4 linked regions of the Drosophila melanogaster genome follow. The protein of the gene in region 2 interacts with the protein of the main gene of each other region in a pairwise test. Each region holds a gene or a part of one and is shown on either strand. Other genes may lie near its edges. The genes, in order: Scsalpha1, CG30122, RunxB and CG11523.

Region 1 (6,626 bases), on a different chromosome or scaffold from region 2:
TTGCTTTTCCTTTGGTTGCTCTCCCTTTTGATTATCTGCGATTTTCACACTTTTCCGGGGTGGCGAACAATATGCGAATCGGCACTATAGCTTCTGACGTTTTTCGCGGTGTTTTCCAAGTTTGTTTAGGCCTTTGTGGCACGCATTTTCAATCGCGGCCCTAAAACATATATATGTTTATTAGAGCTGGCACAAAAAGCGATGGCAGTTCGATATTAATGTTGCCAGATATTTCACGAGTTAATCGAAACTTCCGCTCTATCGATGTGTGCTCTTGATGTTTGCAAGTCGATCCCATTAAATATCGAAAGTAGAAAACTACATTTTTTTAAATTTCCTTAAATCTTTTTTTAATATGGTAAGCATTGCTTTTCATAAATTATTGTTTTGTTAATTCTTCTCCAAAGAATTTTAGTTTAGATTAAATAAATTGACCTGAAAATTCATATTTTCAAAGGATATGGCTTGTATAGCTAAAACCACGAAAATTCACCACATCTATCCTGTTTTTATGCATATTTATTACACATTCAGATACAATTCGCATTGATAATTCGAGCAGGCATTTAAAATTAAGGCAAAAATCTGTTCGCAACACAAACAATGAGCCGAGTGCAATAACAATTAGAAATCTTGGTTTTGGTGCGAGTTATTTTAGTTCAACTTGGTGGTACGGCAGTAGTTAACTTAATTCTTGGAATACATGTCACAATTCAACGCCTCTCGTTTCTCTCTAGTAATTTTTCACAATAATTTATTTGGGTTCGCTCGAATGCAATTTCGATTTTCGACACTTTTAGCTTAACGTTAGGTTCATCATCATGAGTTTGCGTATACGCTTTGATCGGCGTACGGATTCCGGTTTGGTTATGGCCTTTAATTATTTACACTAACTCCAGACGCTTCATCTCCTTGAAGAGCTCGTGGCCCATTTTGGCAGGACTCCTGGTCACAATGACGCCGGCCTTCTCCAGGGCGGCGATCTTGTCGTTGGCACCTCCCTTTCCTCCGGAAATGATGGCTCCAGCGTGACCCATGCGACGGCCGGGTGGCGCCGACACTCCGGCAATGAACGAGACGACAGGCTTGGCCTTGATGCCCTGCAATAGGATACAAAAACATTTAGCAATGAAATACATTGATCCGTGATGGCTTCTCATACCGAATTGTACTCGGTCAGGTAGTCGGCAGCCTTCTCCTCGGCAACGCCTCCGATCTCGCCGATCAGGATGATGCCCTTGGTCTCGGGATCCTTGAGGAAGACCTCCAGGCAGTCGATGAAGTCGGTTCCGTTGAACGGATCGCCTCCAATGCCCACGCACAGGGTCTGGCCCAGACCCACCTCCGTGGTCTGGTGCACGGCCTCGTAGGTCAAGGTTCCCGAGCGCGAGACCACGCCGATCTTGCCGCGCTTGTGAATGTGACCCGGCATGATGCCGATCTTGCACTGCAATCAGAAAAAACATAGTTTAAGATTATACAATTGACTTAACTGAAAGTGGAGTGAAGTGGGTAATCACTAAGTTTTGTGACGCATAGAAAGATAAGCGTTATAAATGGTAATAAAAAACGTATCGTCCGCAAATTCCACCAACTTCAGGTGCAAAGTTCAATGCCCAAATTTAAGGGTGTGTCAATGGAGGCCTGTTTATACATTAACAATAAGCAAATTGAAAACGGAATAGTAAACAGATATATGTAGTTCAAAGCGAGCGTCATACCAAGAGATAAGAAAACCACCAGATGAACGTGGACTTTGCCCTCTGGCCAAGCTTATCTCTCAAGCGCTGGAGATGTACGAACCTGTTCGGGGGCGATGATTCCCGGGCAGTTGGGACCCACCAATCGCGACTTGCTCTGGCTGATGAGGGCGTGCTTCACCTTCACCATGTCGTGCTGCGGCACACCCTCCGTAATGCAAACGATCAGGGGGATCTCCGCTTCCAGAGCCTCGATGATGGCGGCCGCAGCGCCCGGTGGTGGCACATAGATGACGGTGGCATGTGGATCGGTGGCCTTCTTGGCCTCCGCCACCGAAGCGAAGACGGGCAGTCCCAGATGCTGGGTGCCTCCCTTCTTGGGGGAAATGCCGCCGACCAACTTGGTGCCGTACTCCAGAGCCTGTTGGCTGTGGAACGTGCCCTGTTTGCCGGTGAATCCCTGGCAGATCACCCGCGAATCGCCGTTCAGCTTCAAGTTGCCGCGCGTCTTGTTGTACTGCGAATTGCAGCGCACTCCGGCCACGAAGCCATCTGAAAAATGTAAGAATGAATCATTTTAGGACTAAAGTTGGAAATTTAGTATTTTGGATATTAATAAACCAGCCTGCAAGTGTAAACTTACATAGTTACATGATAATTTCATTTGCGTAACGTTCGAGAAAGGTTTATTATTTATTAAATTCCTATATTTCTTGCCCATTTTCCAAGTACACATAATTGATTTTCTAGATCGAATGGAATATGTTCCAGAACTCATGCCATATATAGATCTATTTAAGTTGAGTATTTTCTTTAAGAATATCAGTCGCTTTGCAAGATGAAAGCTATCATCGTTTTTATTCTGTGTGAGTTTTTTTGGAGCTTATGTTGCTAACCGAAATTGTTTTACTTTTACATCCCCTTTAGTCATTTCAAGTGTGCATGCTATGAGCAAATGCAACCAAGCAATTTATCTAAATCTTGATCCTCACTGCGGAATACTTCCCGATTGTAACTTAGATGGTCCAAATCCAAGTTACCTCAAAAGGGTGTCGTGTGAACGCAAAGAAAACGGAAAACCAGGTGGGTAATTGTTGACACCTTTTGTGTTTCAGAAAACTTAATCGATTCGTTTAGGATTCATCGAACTAATTCCCGGAAAATGTCTCCATGGTAAACCGCGTTGCTCGTTAAAATAGTAATATTGTTCCAATATTTCCATGCATATATGTTTCAATTAAAGGCATTATAAATACCTATATTCTATAATTCTTCTGAGAAGCATTTTAAAGCATTAAATTATATGTAAACTACTCAATCTGCGTGCGATTATGAAAGCTTTGAGCTTCTTATTATTTCTGAGTGAGTTTCTACGCAAGAAACTGCGAGTAAATACATACGTTCTGAACTATTCAACCACTGCAGTTATGAATATATTCGAGACTGCGAATGGAAAGAGTGTCTGTGAAGGATTTATAAAAGCTGGAAGTCCATTCTGCGCGTTTGCCGCTACCTGTAACTTCCAAGGCTTGAGTCTTTTGCACGTTGGACAAGAGCAGTGCAAACTGACTGAACTGGGAAAGCCTCGTAGGTTCAATTCAATTATCGTATTCAGTTCGCCTAACCTTATTTACATGTCCAGTATTTCTGAAAATCAAGGCCGGAAGGTGTCCCCGGGGTAAACCCAGATGCAGGAAAACTAGATAAGGAAAATAACTTTTTTATATTATAAGGCATTTTATATCCTTGATCACTTTCAATAAAGATTTAACTCTTCATTTTTACCATTTTAAAAATCTATGTAATCTAAAGTTTAGAAACACCGCCTTTTGTGGCCTTGACATTTGTTAAGAAATTCCACACCTGTTGCTTTAATCGCCTTAAATACGACATGTTTCGGTAATTAGCAGCTAATCTTTGTAAAACCCTGCAACACTTGCGAAACATTCAATCTCAATCTCACCATGAAGATTTTCGGATATATCCTTATACTCAGTGAGTTACCTAAGATTTAATGGGAATATACCTATAAACATGGTATGGTTTCATCCCTGTGACAGTTGTAACAATGATAGAAGTCAATGGTGTCCTAACTGTTGAAGAATGCCAAAAGTTCTTGAACCCCCCAATTCAGCTACGGTGAAAGCAGATCCATGGTGCGGAATAACAGCGGATTGCCACTATACCTTCCTTACTGCCAGCTTCCTGAAGACCGAAGTCTGCTTTCGTAAAGTAAATGGTTTGCCAGGTAGGTCTGACCAGTTTGACTTTTAGAACGATACTAAGTTTATCCATGCTTTCAGAACTCAAAAAAGTAATTCATGCCAAATGCCCTAAGGGCAAATATTCATAAATATAGATCGGAGCTTGGAAAAAATATCCCAAACTAAATTAGAATTAAATAACTTTTTGACGAAGGCAAATGCTTGCAGCAATTATTTGTTTGAACTATTAAATTAAAAGTATACACGTATATCCACTACGAGAAAAGTTAAAAAGTGATGGTCACCAAAGCGGTGTTCCACTGTACTTGTTGCCGAAAAAAAACGGTTGTTTGTACGCTGGGTCACATGCAAGCGAACCTTGAACACAACCCCCGCACTCCCCCTCTTTAATCATTTCAAAGCCACGTATCTGCGGATTCGCAAATTGAGCCGCTTATTAATCCGAATGGAGGCCGACTAATCAGCAGATGCGTCGGAACGACAGGTGCTCCCTAATTGCTTGGATATTTGTTCTTTTGGTGCCGTAAATCCATTGAAGTTATATAATTTATTATGCTGTTAGGCTATCGGGCGTGTTAGGCAACCGATGTGGAGAATACGCACCTCGCACTTTCAGCAGCGCCCTCATTGAAGCAGCCATATTATCTGTGTGTGGTGGTTGTGCGATAAAAACAGCTTTACTCAATTAAAACGCGTTTAATTAATGCAGTGCGAAATCGGCCGAATAGTGCTGAGTTAACCACTGCGATAGTATCGATAGAGCGACTGCAAAGGCTTACGACACACCATCGATATTTTAGCTGCGATAAGTTACAATCGGGGTATTCCACAAATCGATTAGAAAGTTGAACAGTTACATTTCAAACAGCTGTTCTATGAAAATGTAATTAGCTAAATATTTTAAAAAGATAATTAAAAAAAAAAAAATAAGAAACGTCGAAAATTAATGTTTAAACCACCAATAAGATATACAAAATATGTAAATCTCAAATAAATCTTTATCTACTCCACTGAACCTTTATTTCGAGATCTTAAAGAAAGGACAGATCAAGTGTGTTGTATCGACTACGTAAAATACATTGCCTCTAGCGTCTAAATACTCAGATGGCTTACACATTAGCAACTAGCACAGAGTACACAACATGCGCCTACGAATATCAACTACGTTTCTGTTTTCTGTTCTCTTCGGGCGACAACGTTTTAAAAACTTTTGCTAAGGCCAAAAATGGATACAAAATATAGGTTTGTATCTATTAGTTAATCTCAAATGTGTCATTGCTTCTTGCTTTTGAACGGAGGGCGTCGGTGGTGGGTTCTCTTATTTTCTCTATTATCTAATTGAACAGATTCTCGTTCTCGTTGGCCAGGACGAGATCCTCCAGCGGCGGATGATCGTGGACATCCGGCTCGTGCTGTCCTGAATCCGGCCCGCGATTAAATGCATTCTCCTCGCCCTTCTTCAAGCGCTGGTAGACCAAAATGGAACGACCTGTGCGCGATTGGCGATTCTGCAAGAGAGAAGCAAGATTAGGTGACTGGGCACCCAGTGCCTCCGACCACTGGTCCACCAGAGCCTGCGAGCCCTCCAGCCGTGTTACCTCTGCGTGCTCGATGCGATGGAGCAGCCGGTAGTTACGGAGGAACACGCTTATGTTCTCGGCCAGCGGATCGAACAGAACCACATGTGTGGGCAAAGCGGTGAGCGGATGCATAGGAATGTGCGAGTTAATCCAGTGCACGGGATCCTCAAAGAAGCGATCGGCCTCGTCCTTATACTGCTCCTTCTTTTCCAGGTTCGGTTCGCAAGTCAAAAACCTCATGGTGACATTCTGGTGAATGTGACTAACAAGAAAGCAAAAAGCAAAATTAAAACATTGAAGAATAGTGAAGTCCAAAACTTCTTACCTATAGTATGGTGTGGAGTGGCAAGGCATTAGGAAGAGAATATTCGCCTGGTGTTCGCGTTCATCTCTGTATTCCCGAGCTATTTCTCTCAACTTGGGCATCAGTTCAATGGGTCCCTTCTGATGCACTGTGCTCAGATACCAGGCGGGCATAACATTGCCCACGAGAATGACCAAAGCGGTGGTCCACAACATTGTGCTCGAGGCTCTGATGCTCCAACGCGATAGGGCATCTGTGATAACGTACAAGCAGAGCGGCAGGAGCGGGGAAACAAATCGAAACTCCTTGTGCTCCACAGCACTCAGAACAACCAGAGTCAGGAAGATGGTGATCAGAAGCTGCTTGCTAACAGGGTACTTCTCCGACTTCTTCACAGTTTCCATCACGCCAAAGATGAAGGGCAAGGTGTTGATGCCCAGGACTGTGGGCAAGCCCACGCTGAAGTACCAGTGCCAAGGGTGTGAGCCATAGAAGCTGCCGATGTTGTTAAATATGTTGTACTTGAGGAACTCGTACGGAGTCACTATCAACTGGCCATGCCAATAGGTATCGATGGCTATTCCCAGACCAGCAACGAGTAAACTACAAGTTAAAGTTGGATTATTATAAAACTGTCAATGTTTTAGATTTCTTATCTTACCCAATGAGCACAAATCGCTTCAGGATCAGCTCCAGCACGTTCTGGCGACTTCTGCGCAGATGATACAAGGATAATGGGAGCCAAATAACAGCAGCCGTAGGTCTCAGGAAGCAGCAGATGGCAGCTGGCCACAGGTAAGCAGTGGATTCGCCATAC
Region 2 (7,938 bases):
CCGCCGCTGCTTGCTGAGGTTGTTGGTATTGTTGTGACTGCTGCTGAGTCTGCCAGATGCCCGTTTGTTGATGCTGCGGCGCCTGCTGTTGCTGATGGTGTTGACTGTACGTACTCCACTTGCCGCTAAGGGAGGCCTACAGGAACGATCGAGATCTTAGCCAGCTGTCATGCGTCGAGGATTTGGTCGCACACTTACCTTGCCTCCGCCAGGTGCTCCACCTTGTTGCTTGTACTGATCGTAGCCACCGCCTACAGCGGTGTTATTGCCATACTTGGGTAGCGATTGACCAGCTGACCGCTCATAGCCACCGCGACTATCTTCTTTGGTGTCGCGGTGGCCAGGCCGAAAATCCCGTTGTTGATGAGTACCACCTCCCGAGCGATAGCTACTCTGGCTGCTGCCCCGGTTCCGGTCGTTACTGCCCATTCGACTGCGGTCGTTGCCACGGTCTCGATCGCGATAGTCCCGCGAGCTGCCGTAGCCGCGGTCGTCATACCCACTTCTGCGGTTGTTCTGCATCCAGTTTTGCTGACCACCACCACCACCACCACCACCGCCGCCGCCGCCACCACCACCGCTGCCGCCTGCGTATCCACGGTTGCGATTGTCGTATCCACGACTGCCGCTTCCACCGCCACCATAGCCGCGATCATCGTACCCGCTTCTGCGGCTGTTCTGCACCCAATTTTGCTGGCCACCGCTACCGCTGTTGTAGTTGCGGCGATTGTCGTAGCCACGACTGCCGCCTCCACCACTATTGCTGGAGTAACCGCCACCGCCGCCTCCCCTGCGGGAGTCGCTCCAACGACTTTCGTGCCGCTGGCCGCCATAATCACGACGTCGGTCATCATTGTATCGATTCCGGTTCCGGTCATCACGACGATAGTTGTCGCGACTTCCTCGGGATCTCTTGTCACGCGACCTCTCCGCGTCAATGGCCTTTTTGCCCTTCTCGTTGTACTTCTTGACCTCGCTCTTGGCCTCGTCACCAGTCAGCTCCGTGTAGTTTATATCATCGAACCAGCCAAACTCCAGCGAGGGAAGTGTGAAGTTGGCTGGAAAAAGATTGCGTGTACATCATCAATAAGGCTGCACAATTGCTAAAATCGCTCATTATCATTACAGATTAGGAATTATTGTAGATGGAGTATAGAGGGAAAGAAGGGATCAACTTTGGCAACCGAACGTAAAAGGGCGCAAAAATTTCGATTTTCAAGAAATCCAGTTGTGAATAAAGTCCATCCTTTATACGTTCCAGTTGCCAAGTGGGGGTTGTTATAGAATAAATGTTAATGAATAATGGTAATAATAATAATCAAATTATGAGATATTTTGAAGGGCTTACAGTTACAATTACGTATAGATACATAAAGTGCAGCTGCTTACAAACTAAATACGTTACATAAGTTTTTATAATGTTTTTCATTTTAACAAGAATGCCTCCTTATTTAGATAGGTAGAATAATAAGTTATACGATCGTACATTATTCTGGATTTTTTTTTTCAATTCGTTGCTTTGGTGTGGTGGATAATATTTACCTCGTAAATTATTAATTGTTGATTCTTTAACTGTAAAAGCATTTCCCTTTTCCTCTTTTTCGGCGATGCGACGTTTCAATTCATCTTCGCTGGGTATGCAAACGACCGCAATTCGCTTGAAGTCGTTAAAACCCTTCATTTTACGTCGCTGGGCCGAGGCATACACATTGGTCTACAAGAATACAGTTGGTTGATCGGTTGGTTGGTTGGTGTTGTTTGGTTGAATTGGGTTCAGATTTTGTCTGCCAGTTGTTGTTTGGTTGGATTTGGTTTGGTTGTTGTTGGGACAGTCGTCGAACTTGAGAAACACGTTGATGATACGGCTCGGTTGGAGACCTCGGTCTACCGGGATCGAACCCAACTCGCATTGAGCTCGCTTGCTTTCAGCGCTTATAATCTAACACATACCTGTTGCACGGCGGGACACCCACTTCCCGCCCACACTCCGCCGGCAAGGGAGCGGGGCCTTACGGAAGCGGTGCGCGCACACCAACATAATACCTAGGGGGCGGCGACGGGTTAATGTTAACCCGGCCACATCTAACAACAGTTGACTTAATACTTTGCATAAGGATAACAGAATGTACTATGGGGGAAAAGTAGTCGCGGTTGGCTGTGCTGCTGGCTGTAGGATGAAGCATCGCATAGCTTTCTGTAGATACACATACATATATATGAGAATAGTTGGCATTTAGAGAGAGAGATAGAGTAGAGATAGTAGGTACTAATACGTATATGTGATTAGATTGTAGGCGAACGACTCGTCGATCGGATTTGTGTTTGTCTACTTACAGTGGCATCCATGCCGCTCGCTCCTCCTCCTCCTCCTTCTTCCATACTTTACTTCACTCCATTCCATTACACTCACTCATCTTTCTCCAATGCCATTTCCATATCCATATCCACTTCCATCCCCACTTTTCTTACAATTCCCTCTTAACTGCCCCGTCAACTGTTGCGCCTGCACGTAAAACTTAAGCTAATGGGAAGTCCACAGATACTTACTGCCTCAAACTTAAGCACTCTAATTATCGGATCGACTTACAATTAGGACATACCTGCACGTTGGTGCCCCTTCTAGGGGCACTTGGGCACTCTATTAAGTTAGAGCGATGAGCAAAAAAAAAATGCATACTCAAATGTACAATTAAAAAATATATAGCGCAACATTGCTGTGCCCCGCTGGTGGAACCCCTCAATCCCGAGGGGATCAGAGCCCCAGTGTGTTGGGTGGGCGCCAAAGTCATCATCAACGTATAATTCTCGCTTGTTTCGTTTTGTGTTTGGTTATCGTTCGTTCATAGTGTAATCTTGTGTGTTTGTGGGCTGGTGTTTTGTTTCGGGTGTATGTAGGTCATTTGTTAATGGTTTACCTGATCAAGTATGAAATTTCGACGCCGCTTCATGGCAATATCTTCCAGAGCCGCCAAGCTATTTAAGCATATCTCGTACACCTTGTCCCATCGACCTTTGTGCACAGTCTTGCGAGAGGCGCCATCGATCTGCAAATATATTGGTCAGTACTGAATATCTTCAGCGCCTAGCTATGTACATTTATTAACCAACTTACTGTCATCTTTGAAATGAATGCGTCGGGTCCAATCAACTCGTAACGCTTGTCAGCATTCTCGGCCACATGCTTATGGGCCCAATGGGTCTTTCCGGCTCCTGGCAAGCCAACCAGTAAAATGACTTCGCACTCCTTGCGAGATCCGACGCGTTGTGGACCGGAAACCAGCTTTTCGACAGGTACTAAGCCGATCAATACATAGCCTTCCAGCAGGGCAGCTGTATCCCTTGGCTCGGGCACGACATCCTCGTACTCATCTTCGGTCGTCTGCGACCTGTCCTTTTCCTTTTCGGATTCAGCCTTTTCCGAATCTCCATCGGTTTTGGGTCGCTTGTTCGGCGAGGGGCCATCCTCATCTTCTTCATCATTGTTTTCGGAGGGTTTCTTATCCTCAGATGCCTTTTCATCGTTTGCCTGTTCTGCAGCAGCATCACCATTTGACACAGCTGCAGTTTCTGACGACTTTTCGGTAGAAGTTTCAGCTAAAAGGAAAACCCAAAATATTAGCATTTTGTGGGATAACTGATTTTCAATCAATCATTACTCACCAGTTTCCGAAGCCTCGGTAGCTTCTGATTCGGGCTTAGCAGCTTCAGCAGGAGCCTCGACTTTAGTTTCGGCTTCTGTTTCCGTTTTTGGCGCCGCCTCATCCTCTTTGGCTTTTTCAGGATCTTCGGCTTCCTCTTCATCTTTCTCCGAAGAAGCCTTGCCATCTTCATCCTTTTTCTCCACCTCATCATCATCCGCCGTGGCTTCGTCCAAGACCTTCCACTTCTCGCCATCGTTGTCATCCTTATCGTCGTCCTTATCCTTGTCTTCGTCTTTACGTGGCTTGCGGCGCTTGCGCGTGGGCCTCTCGGCATTCACCAACAGCTGCTCGGTGTCAGAGAAATTCACTAAGTATTCGTAGCCCTTGGTAACGATGTGCGGAAACAGGGCTCCCTCCTCGCCCAGTATGCTCTTCTCAAACTCGAACGCAACTCCAAGATCCTCGCCGTTCAGAGTGTAGTTAATTGTGCACGGCTCACTTTCCAGATCTAAATAGCAGCCGATAACGTCATCCAGCTGGTAAGGCTTGCCGTAATCGGTAAACTCGCTCTGAGTAGCCTTACGCCCGGTCTCGCAATAGCCAAATGAATGCTCGGCCTCGCCTAGCAACAAGGAGCTCTTGGGCATTGAAAATCCCACGCGGAATCCTCGCACATGCGGCTCATCGCGGAAGTAGTGCGAGTTCTCCGGCACCGACTCCTCGGAAAGGCGCACCTCAAAGCACACTTTGCCTTCGCGCACTCCGTAGTTTGCGCGGGCTCCGGACCAAATAAGCGAGTAAATTTCCGATGTCAGGGGTTTGGCCGATGCAAACGTGGTTGGGTCGATGCGTAAATGCAAGTCAGAGTCCACTGGAATATAAAAACAAAGGGATATTAGTTACTGTGAATGATGGATCAAGCTTTGAACGTTAAGGAATGTGTGTATCGAATTCGTTGCAAACAGCAAGTCTACTTACGCCAGCTCAATCCGACTTTGTTCTCCTCGATGGTTGGCTCGTCCTCAGGAACTGTGCGTTCCTCGGCCGCTGCCTTTGACTCACGCTTGTCACCTACGCTGCCGCGATGTTTGGACGAGCGGGAGCCACTGCGCGATCGGGATTTGGACCGACTGTGTGATCGCTTGCGGCGTTCCGGGGGCTGATCCTCAGGCTTAGCTGCTGGCTCGGTCTCCTCCGCCGTTTTCGGGGCGGCCGAATCCTCCTCATCAACGTCCATTTTCTGGCTGTCGCCATTTGACTGATGCTCGGCCACAGTGCTCTCGGCTGGTTTCTCCTCTACAGGCTCCTCAGTTTGTGTAGGTTCCTGCTCCTCAGGGGCAGCATCATGATCCTCTTCCATGGGTTCATCAGCCACTTCATTCTGTGGTACGACGGCGGGTACTGCCTCTTCGATTGTCTCCTGCTTGTCGTCTGTCTCCGACTTTTCATCAAACTCTTCGGGCTCAGGCTGCGACTCCTCATTGACCGCTTGGTTGACGGTTGTGTCCTCTGTCACTGCTGCAGCTGGCTCAGCTTCCTCCGGCTCACTTTGTTCTGGTTCCGGCTCGGCTGCTGGCTGTTCACTTTCTGGTTCTGGCTGTGGCACTGTCTTATCCTCCGGCTGCTCCTCCTCTTCGAGAGTATCGAGCACTGGTTCTGCGGCCACGGGAGCAGCTTGCACCGGCGATGGAGAGCGGGACATAGAGCGCGTGCGACGCTGACGGCGGCTTGGTGTGACCGGCGCATTTTCTGGACGCGGGAAAAGTGAAATGTGATTACTTTATCATTATATAAGGAAAACTTACAACTAACTCACGCTCAGTCGCACACAAACAGAAACCGAAACACAAGCATGACTTGGACGCGGCAAAGCACACGCACACAGTGACACCCACACACATACACACTGGAACAATCGGGCGGTCAAATGACGCATACACACAAACTTACCACCGTCGCCGGCTCCTCCTTCCACATATGCCCTCAGGCGCTCGACGAGCACCGCTTTGACTCCTTTGGTGTCCAGGCCGCGCGACTGGAGCTCGTTGCGCAGGTCCACCACCTTCATCTTCTCCAGCTTCGCCACATCCATTCTTGCGCTTCAATTTGGATTGGCGGCAGAAACACACACGCTTATTCACTCAATGTGCACCGCTGAAAAGCTGGCGATGTGAAAAACTGAATTGGGGGAATTTCGGGCCAAATCACGCTGTCTGGCAAATGACACCCACACTGGAAATGTCACCGTAGTCAAGTCGCAATGGTTGCTAGCACCGTGCGCGCACAATTAAAACGCAATATTCGTTTTTACATTCGCATTTGTTGCGAATAAATAAATGGACCTAAATATTATACCGAACGCGTTGAAGTGAAGTTGGCTGCGATTGGGAAAACGAAAACGTAGAGCTACCGTGCTTGGGTTCGATACTTGTGCTTGGTGGCTATCGATAACAGGCTGAACATCACTAGCGATAGAAGGCGCTTGTGTGCATCAACCGTTTGCATGTGCGCTGCAAGAAAATATTTAATGATTGAATGATTTGTAGTAAATACTATATCAATAAAAATTAATAGGCAAAGTCAATGTTTATTTCAAAACATAATTAATAGTATTAAAACCTGCATAACAAAGTGTTTTTCGTAAATTGACTTTAGGTATAATGGCTGTTTGGCACAGGCATTAACAACGACTCCGTGGCGCAACGGTAGCGCGTCCGACTCCAGATCGGAAGGTTGCGTGTTCAAATCACGTCGGGGTCAAGCAATTGATGTTTTTTTTTCATTATTTTTAGTTTGCAAACTATATAAAATAAATACGAATTTAAGATTTCAAAAAAAAAAAACAGTATACAAAATTTGCATCGGCCGGGAATCGAACCCGGGCCGCCCGCGTGGCAGGCGAGCATTCTACCACTGAACCACCGATGCTTAAATACTAGATGTCTTACCTTCAATATAAGCTTGGATTGCAAATCCATTGGGTCATTTCTATAAATTGCTAAAATAGTTTAAGGTTGATTAATAAAATGTAATGCTGAAATAAAACTAACTTAATACGCAGCGTTGCTAATATACTTATTACGAAAAACTGCATGTTTTTTATATTATACCATTTTCCTAACTTGTTATAACATCCTAACTTCCTAACTTTTGTAACATCGATTGTGGCCATGCCCCTTCAGCAGAACAAGTGCTCATTAACACTCACTTATAATTAAATTTGAAATATATTTTATCGACATGCCATACTCATGTCGCTATAAAATCTATAAGTTAAAGATGCACAATCCAAAATTTCGCAATTGGAGCGTTTAAATTCAGGAATATGTCTTTTTGGTGGATGATACAAAGCCTTTTGATCCTGTGGACAGTGTCAGTGGTAAGAATAAATAAAATAATCAATAAAGAAATTTGTGGCAATAATATATTTATTTTTAATTTTTAGGGATCAAAAAAAAGCAACTATGAAGTCCGCTTTGAGTCGATAGATGCCGTAAAAGGAAGTACCGAAACCCTTTTTCTATACCAGCTACGATTGCTCGGTAGAAACCGCATGATAAATGGAACTCTTATTTTCTTAGAAGACTTGGACGAAACGTTCGACGTCCTTTTCGAATCCCACGCATTTAAAAATGGATATTGGGTCAAGGGAATCGTGAACGCCGCCGCCAGCAAACCCTGCGAATTTTTCAATCGCTACTACATTTCCTTTTTCCTAGTAAAATCGACCGAATCGAATTTACCCACTACCGGTGCTGAAATGTGTCCTTTTCGAAAGGGTACATATTTTGTGAAAAACGGCGTTGTTTCTACCGAAGATTGGCCACCCATTGTCTTTAAAGGTCTTAACAGATTCACCATTTCGTATCTAAAAAATGGCGAATGTGTTGGTGGAGTTCAGTTAACAATTAGTATAGCAGAAATCATCACATAGTCTTAAAAATTTATAATACCACGAAAAAATATATGGCATAAATGAAAACTCAATTATTTCTCTGTGTGTGTGTGTATGTATAGCCAAGCCATTTTTATATATTTTTCTTCTTACATTTTTGATTACAGTTTATAGTTACAGCTAAAATGATTGCATTCGAAATTGTTTCGTTTCGTTTACACGGAATATGCGCATATATATTTAGCTAAGAATCTCTTTTAAATAGTAATAGGTTCTTTAATGGGGTTCACATAAATATTTACATGCACATTTGCACATAGAATTGTAATAATTATTTATCGTTATATATCGCTTTTACGTTCCCAGTTCAGATCCATTTCTAAGGCTCGTCCCAAGCAACCG
Region 3 (4,740 bases), on a different chromosome or scaffold from region 2:
AACAGATCGCCTTTGGTATTTCTTTTACCATTTATATATATTTTAACGAAGCAATTTGACAATTCCTCTCAACGCAAATCATTAGTTTTGCGCGAAAAAAAAGATTTGGTCTTGTCCAAAAAGAGTTATTTTCTTATAAAAAATGCATTCTCAACAACACTGCTATAGAAATATATAGAAATATATAGAGCGTTTATTTGTTGACACTCAATTGGTTTTTTTTTTTTTTTAGTTTGCTGAAAGTTAAAATCTTTGCAGTTATGAGATATGAGTACGCACCACATGTGGAGATCCCGTCTTGACCAGCTCGCCAGGATGTTCGGCGAGCAGGACGTCGACGGTGCGCTCGATGAGATTCTCGGGGGTTAAGTAGGGACTCGTGTCCACGGGCTTTGTTTTAACATTATTATTATTGTTGTTGTTGTTGTTGTTCGTGGTGCTGTTGTTGTTATTGTTAGTATTATTATTGTTGGTGGTGCTGGTATTGTTGTTGTTGTTGTTATTGCTGCTGGCAGAGGACTCAGCATTCCGCCGCTTCGTTGTGGTCGTTGTTGCTGTCTGTTGTTGCTGGTGCTGCAACAACTGATGTTGCTGCTGCTGCTGATGTTGCTGCTGCTGTTGCTGTATTTGATTTGAGGTGGTCGAACTGACCTCAGCAGAAATGTGCATTATTGCAGCTGCTAGCTGGGCACAAGGTATTTCAGGGCCCCTCTTTGGTTGCCAGTACTCAGTGGATTCAGTGGATTCAGTTGCCGGCGGGTTTCGTGGGTTTTCGGTTTGATTTCAATGCCTGCCTCAAAGAGTCGACGCTTTCAATCCGATCATTGTCAGCTCATTTGGTCAATCTGGAAAATTAATGTGGACTGCGAGTGAGATTTCGGACTGCCAGCGGATTTTTTGTGTGTCTGTGTCTGTACGTTGTTCCCCAAAGCAATTTCTCTGGATAATCGATTGATAAATGGAATATAATGTAAAAAATAAGCAAAATCCATTTAAAATAAATCAAATAAAAAACTTAAAAATTAAATGTAATAAAATTGCATGCAAAAACTCCTAAAACAAGAGTACAACAAAATACATTAACTAGTTTGCACCAATGCACTGCACTGTAATTTATTTCAAAAGCGTTTTTTGGAACACACACACACACACACATAGATAATATCTTTTTGTACGAGCTGCGATGCTTTTGTTGCCACTGCTTCTTTGTTTTTCAGTTTGCAGCCCGCATAAGTATGCTGCACTTTTTGTTTATTGCCGTCAGCGACAACAGCTCAATTATTATTGCACTTTGACCTCGGGAGGTCGGGGACACAAAGGCACATCCAGATTCGGAATCAGAATCAGAAACTGTTGCTGTATAGTATCGCTATCTGGAAACCAAACAGAAAACAGAAGCAGCCGAATTGAATCGAATCGATTCGAAATGAATCGAATTGAATCGAATCGAATGCAATCGCAGCGAACCGCACACCTTTGCGCACAATTTGCATTTAAGCCGTCGTCGGCGAGTGCAGCTCAATTAAATATTAAAAAATCATAACCAATAATGAGGAATTTCGACCCGTAGGCAGTGCCCAAACTAAGATGTACGACTGCGAGTGTGGGTCGGTGTGAAAATTCCATTTTATGTCCATCAAATGGCGAATAAAAATGGCAAAAAGCCAGGGGGGAAAATTATCGAAAGCGCCAGATGTTGCCGGTTTGTGTTTGGCCAGCCAGTCGCTTTTGTTTAAATAAAAACCAGTTGCCGGACACAGCCGCGTTTTGTTTTCACGATGCCGGATTTTTTTTTTCCACCAACTATTTTCACGATACTTTTCACTACGTTCTGGCCAGGTCTCTAAGTTATGCGAAATAATTTTGAAAAATTCCGAATTAAAAATTAAATAACCCATTACTGGGTTCGTTAGTTTCAGAATACATATTTTGATAAATGTGCTTAAGATAAAGGCCTATGAACTTATGGCAATCATTAAGCCTTCATTACTATAGGCTTATCAGCGAAGACTTACTATTTCCAAAGTAAATTCGTAAAATGGGCAAAAATTAATATTTTAACTGTTTTTAATAAAATAATTAAAATGATTATGATAAGACAAGATAATAAATGAGAGTGGGTAACAAAATTATTTATGAGCTATTAATTCATTTTTCCAAAGAGGATATAGCGCATCCAGAGCTTCGGCCTATTAGAACCCTTGCAATTTTCTTCCTGATTTGTAATGTAGAGTAGCAAGTGCTGCACAAACACAATCGAACCTAAAGATATATATCTGTACATGTATGTACATATGTGCACACGCTGCGTATACGCGTTTTTTACAACTTCCGCTCCGAAATGAATACATGTGTGTACGTGTGAACCCATATGTATGATTATATGCATTTTTTTTACCAACTGCCGAATGCAGATGTCCCGCCAAATGAGCTGGCCAAGCGACTATGTGGCGGCCCATGTGGCCACAGATGAGCGGAAGGGGGCGTGGTCTATATAATCGGTTAAAAAACAACTCGGTGGCGGGGCTAGCCACAATTAGACCAACAAATTTAAAAAAAAGATTTAGAAAAAGATGCACTTATGCCAAAATGCTTAGAAAATCAAAACAATTGACGTGGCAATTAACGCTCTTGGGCTGCATTTCTTACACTAAATAAAGTTTAGATTTTAAATGGTAAAATTAGTTGCTCTTAAGTTTGCTTCGATTGATTAGTATTTCATTATACAAAATTAATTTATCCTTACGATATTGGGAAATGTTAATAAAACGGTAAATAAGGCATAACATTTAATTATAGATTTAATGCAATGATCAACAGATAGATCGATAGTTTACGGGATGTAACAACTTTATTTAATACTTGACAAAATTGTGTGTGAAACAAAACAAAATTCGTTGTAATTTCTATAGCTGTGTTTTATGGACGATCATGGATATCACACACTTACGTTAACTCAGTTTTAACAATTATTTATATTCTCCAAACACCATGTGTTAGTTGGACTTAAAAACAATTTTATTTTGTACAGATATTTTCAATACGTCGGCACCACAAGCACTACAAAAAAATTATTGAATTTCGGCCAGACTCTTTCGATTTCGAGATTTCTAATTACTTGAATTTTTTGTAATTTTTTTTTTTTTTGTATCAGCCACCGGCACACACACAAGCACGCACGATAACGCACACACTGACGCACTGGCACAGACACAAATGATGGGGCTTAGTGGAACAGCCACATGGACACATCGACGGGGGCTGAGACTGGCGATCGAATCAAACGACACGGAGATATTAAACTATTTTTTTGCGGTAACCATGAACGCGACCACTACGAGCGGTTGGCAACGCCGACCACCGACGTCGGCAGCGACGTCGACCGCGACCGCGATGCCGGCTGAGGGCCACCGATTTGGAATAGAGCTAGTGCACAGCATCCAACAGTAACGAAGTCTCACGCAGCGAGCTCACGAAGTTGCCGGAGGACGCGAAAGACGCGAAGGACGCTAAGGACGCTAAGGACGCTAAGGACGAGGAAGCGCAGGCGACGCCTCATCATAATCACAGGCGAAAAGAAACAGGACCACCTCACCTCCCAAGCACTCGAAAAGCACTCCCGCCCCCCAGGGGAACGTCTATGTCGACTTCTTGCTCAACTGCTGGGGGTATATACAGTCAGGACTCCGCAAGAAGGCTCATATAACACCACTAATACCTTTTTAACTTTATACATGAATTTAATATTATTTGAATGGTAAAATTGCAAGGAAGTGCACAATTTTTTTCATGCAACATCCGGCTCGGCGAACCAAAAACTTTGATATCATATCATCATATCTCTTTGGTCTGGTCGAGCCTTCTCTCGAGATCTTTTTAGTGCTATCTTGTAAATTTTAAATATATTGAACCATGGTAAAAAAAATATCGTTATTGTAGTGCACGGTGAAACAAGGCGTTCCATTTATTGAGGTTTGATTGTGCTGTTTCTTGCAGTTTTTCCTCGTCTTTAGCTGTTGCTGTTGTTGTTGTTCTGGATGCTTGGATGCCGCCTCTCCTCCTTTTTGGCTTAACATTTACCGCGAGAACCAGTAGCAGCGGTTGTCCTCTGGCAGCGCAGTCGAAGTCGACGTCGAAGCCGGCAGCGACGCCGGCAGCGGGAGGGTCCGGGGCAAGGGGCAAAGTAAACCGAAAACCGAAAACCGAAACCAGAAAACGTCAACTACACCACAAGCAGAAAGGCCGCAACGACGTCTTCAAGTTGGACAGAGAAGAGTAGAACCACCAACCGAGCCACCCAGCTCCCACCACCCACATACCACCCCCCCCGAAGAAAGGGCAACCCACCACGGGCATCTTAGAAAAATTGCGCTCAATTTTTTGGCGCACTCTGGAAAAAATTCCAGAGGCGATGGCGCAAGTGAGAGGTGCATAGTGGGCGAGAGAGAGATGGGCGAACTTCTTGAGTTTTTCCCAGGCTTTTCTTTGCATTTCAGTGTTTTTTCATTTTTCCTGCTTCAACCCCCGAAAGAATTTCTTTCTTGGAAAGGACTCAAAAAAATGCTCTCATCTCGTCTCAAAATGGGAAAAAGAAGAAAAATCCAAGCGAAAGCAAAGCGTTGGAGACGCGGCTTTGTGGCAAACCAGGAATTGGTAAGCCAGGGCGAAAGAGATGGCATCTGCGTGCGAGAAAGAGAGCGCCAATGTCTTGTGGCTGCCATTTGCGGCGAAGAAAACCCG
Region 4 (3,128 bases), on a different chromosome or scaffold from region 2:
GACATTACGGGGCTGCCGTTTAGTAAGTTCTCAAATTTTGAAACAATAACCGTCGTTAAACCATTTTCCAAATAATTTACTTCCTTATCCTCAGTGATAAATGTGACGCTGCCCGATGACAAGACCAATTACGTTCATCGCATCGGACGTGTGGGCAGGGCGGAACGCATGGGGTTGGCCATTAGTTTGGTGGCAACAGTGCCGGAGAAGGTTTGGTACCACGGCGAGTGGTGCAAGTCGCGCGGCCGTAGCTGCAACAACACAAACTTAACCGAAGTCCGAGGATGCTGCATCTGGTACAACGAACCAAACCTACTGGCCGAAGTTGAGGACCACTTGAACATCACCATCCAGCAGGTGGACAAGACCATGGATGTGCCAGTTAATGACTTCGACGGCAAGGTCGTGTACGGTCAAAAGAATTTAAGAACTGGCAGCGGCTACGAAGACCACGTCGAGCAGCTGGTGCCAACTGTACGCAAACTGACGGAGCTAGAGTTGCAATCACAATCTTTATTCTTGAAACGTCTTAAGGTCTAACGCGGATCTGGAGCGACATTTGTTTGCTATGCAAGGAAAGGATGTGGTGAATTGAGAAGTGCAAGACCAACTCACGCGGAAATACTTTTGCGGCACAAACACACAATTTTGTATATGTAGGAAGTCGGAGCTCAAGCTCTGCTATTAAAAATAAACATTTAATTAAACTAACATTAAAATCGTCTGTCTAAAGAGTAAACAGCCTCGTTTGAAAGCTGGAGTCCGGTTACCGTCACTTCTTCTCCTCCTCCTCCGCCTCCTCCTCCTCCTCCTCGTCCTCCTCGTTGAACTCGGTTCGCATCTGTTGCAGCGCTCTAAGCTGCTGGCACAGCTGGTTGCCGAACGACTCGACGTAGCGGGGGCTGATCTTGTCCAGCAGCGCGTACGGCGTTTCAAATATCTCCTCCTCCTCGTCGTCGCCTTGCTCTTGTCCGTTGCGAAGCAGTGCAGAGATCCGGCTGTCCTCGTCTATGGTGTCGTACTGGGAGGAGACGATCTTGAAGCCACGACTGCTCACCTGAACGCAGCAAGTGGCGCTCTCGATAGTCCGGATGTTCAGGTAAATTTGCGTGGCATCGCTTGCCAGTTTGGATGAGATGCAAATCTCAGCGACGTGAGCCTTAACATCGTTAATTATGGCGTTGGCTTCGTCCTCGCAGTTGAAGGCCTGCTCCTCCCCAGGGTCTGCGGTGGCTTTCGGTTCGCCCATCCTAACAGAATCGCTTCGGAGCTCTGCGGCTCGCCTTTTAATTGAATCCCAGTCGATCTGATTCCCTTTTACAGGCGCAACATGTCGTTCCACTCTACTCCATATGTGTCACAGCAGCTGTGTGGCGTGTGCCACGCGTTAGTACATTTTGACCGATGAAGCGGAGCAGGGCGTTCCGGCCAAACTGAATATAATCGTTATTAATGATTTTACATGCAATTTAGCTTAGTTTTTGGTTTAATAGAAGTTCGTAAGACGTACCGATATAAAACGGTTGCTGTCGTATCGAAAGTATAAATTACTCCTAAATAATTGAAATTGGAATGGAGGGGTGCATAGTATAGATTATGGATTAAGTCCAAAATTTGTATATAGCCTCTTTTTTACATTCTTTTTACAAAACTGTAAATAATTTTAATTTAATTAAATAATTTAAAAAAAAACGAAATAGACAATTTTTTTTATTTTATTATTAGTTCTTAATATATGCTTCCCTTATTTAACTTTGTAATTGTATAATTAAAAAACTTAATTTAATTTTTAAATAAAAAAATATTAATAAAAAAATATTCTGCGAAATGGGTTGCATCAAAAAAAAAAAAACACGTGCACGACCTTTTCCTTGGGTGTTCCCTTTCACCCTTCATTTCTTAGACAATCTCGCTTCCGCCCATACAAATTTTATGCATACAGAAAATGACCTGCGGCCGATCGTTGCTTGTGAGTCGCTCACCAGAAAAGGTTATTGCGCTCGTAATAAAAAACTGTCGGATATTTTTTATTCCCGCAAGTAGAGTGTCAAAAAACACCCGGCTGCCTAGATACAACAGTGTTTAGCGGGTGCACTTGGAGTGCCAGTGGCTTGCTGCAGTTCTCTGGTGCACACTTTCGATGCGATTTCTTACAGTGAGTCCCGTAACAGCAGCTATTAATGTTGCGATAGATGGCGTGTTAGTCCAGAGCTGGAAATCATTGATGTCGGCAGGTAAACCGATAAGATAGAACATCGGTTCAGTTCCATCTCTAATTTCGTTGCGAAAAAAATAAGAATCGAGGCATCGGTACGGACGTCAAAAACTGCAATTATAAGAGTACACGCACAGATTGTGGTTCTTGGCAGGCACAGACTTTCACTGCGTGTGACAGCGATCGCTAGTGCAAGTTACCCGTTCGCAGTCAAAGTGACACAGGCATCAGGATGAGCGCACCTGGCATGGACAAGAGAAAACTGTCGTAAGTATTTTGTAGTGCTCCTTCATTTTTCCTCCACGGCGCACACACACGCGCCGTCGGCAGAGTACACACACTCAGCCCGTGCGCGAGTGTGAGTAGCAGCTGCGCGCAGGCAGCGCGGTCGGCGCGAAATTGATTTTTCGCGGCAGAAGTTTTCTCGAGCCAGCAGGCACTTTCCTTTCCACGTCGGGATAAACAAGGAACCGGGTCAGGGGTAATAATGGGCTCCGGTAGTGGGAAGGGGAGGGCAGCTGCGGCTGGAGTTTGATTTCGGACAAGCGAATTCGTCCTGGGCAAGGCCAAGGACAAATTTGGCCATTTGACGGAATTCGATTTTTATTTGATTTCAATAATCGTTAGTTAAAATCTTAGTGGCATAGTTTCAACTTATGTTGCATTAGGCAGGAAAATGTAAAAGGTAGAAAAAAGGCTACGCACATCATCGATCAAGACTCGAGCCGATATCATTCAGATATGTGCTATGTAATACATACAGACCATTATTAGAATTACACATTATAACTACACAGTATGAGAATTTCCTCTTCCTTTCTCCTCTTCCTCTTGCATTCTTCTCGGTTGGCCACACCTCTTTTGCCCGCAAATCGCACGATTTCAATTGTTTAATAGAGAAAAAATGAGTCGA

Evidence for each region.
Region 1: the proteins of CG30122 (region 2) and Scsalpha1 interact in a two-hybrid assay, tested with the Drosophila melanogaster proteins (one large-scale study listed by BioGRID).
Region 3: the proteins of CG30122 (region 2) and RunxB interact in a two-hybrid assay, tested with the Drosophila melanogaster proteins (one large-scale study listed by BioGRID).
Region 4: the proteins of CG30122 (region 2) and CG11523 interact in a two-hybrid assay, tested with the Drosophila melanogaster proteins (one large-scale study listed by BioGRID).

Annotation. Positions count from the first base shown.
Region 1 is NT_037436.4:3,812,258-3,818,883, reverse strand, and holds Scsalpha1 (Succinyl-coenzyme A synthetase alpha subunit 1), read right to left. Parts: upstream 4,674-6,626; 5' UTR 4,566-4,673; coding exon 4,529-4,565; intron 4,187-4,528; exon of another isoform or gene 4,004-4,186; intron 3,949-4,003; exon of another isoform or gene 3,761-3,948; intron 3,696-3,760; exon of another isoform or gene 3,644-3,695; intron 3,443-3,643; exon of another isoform or gene 3,343-3,442; intron 3,288-3,342; exon of another isoform or gene 3,126-3,287; intron 3,046-3,125; exon of another isoform or gene 2,900-3,045; coding exon of another isoform or gene 2,838-2,899; intron 2,784-2,837; coding exon of another isoform or gene 2,628-2,783; intron 2,567-2,627; coding exon of another isoform or gene 2,539-2,566; exon of another isoform or gene 2,530-2,538; intron 2,253-2,529; coding exon 1,804-2,252; intron 1,448-1,803; coding exon 1,163-1,447; intron 1,101-1,162; coding exon 885-1,100; 3' UTR 501-884; downstream 1-500. Other genes in the region: Acp63F (accessory gland protein 63F), read left to right, coding at 2,539-2,566, 2,628-2,783, 2,838-2,899; PIG-B (phosphatidylinositol glycan anchor biosynthesis class B), read right to left, coding at 5,260-5,767, 5,831-6,412, 6,471-6,626.
Region 2 is NT_033778.4:18,633,228-18,641,165, forward strand, and holds the start of CG30122 (uncharacterized protein), read right to left. Parts: upstream 6,044-7,938; 5' UTR 5,734-6,043; coding exon 5,592-5,733; intron 5,391-5,591; coding exon 4,620-5,390; intron 4,513-4,619; coding exon 3,661-4,512; intron 3,595-3,660; coding exon 3,113-3,594; intron 3,045-3,112; coding exon 2,916-3,044; intron 1,715-2,915; coding exon 1,543-1,714; intron 1,059-1,542; coding exon 199-1,058; intron 137-198; coding exon 1-136. Other genes in the region: CheA56a (chemosensory protein A 56a), read left to right, coding at 6,967-7,020, 7,087-7,575.
Region 3 is NC_004354.4:20,536,810-20,541,549, reverse strand, and holds the start of RunxB (runt related B), read right to left. Parts: upstream 3,054-4,740; 5' UTR 2,951-3,053; intron 846-2,950; 5' UTR 670-845; coding exon 280-669; intron 1-279.
Region 4 is NT_037436.4:22,265,306-22,268,433, forward strand, and holds CG11523 (uncharacterized protein), read right to left. Parts: upstream 1,375-3,128; 5' UTR 1,250-1,374; coding exon 773-1,249; 3' UTR 541-772; downstream 1-540. Other genes in the region: Ddx1 (Dead-box-1), read left to right, coding at 1-22, 95-540; Csp (cysteine string protein), read left to right, coding at 2,448-2,482.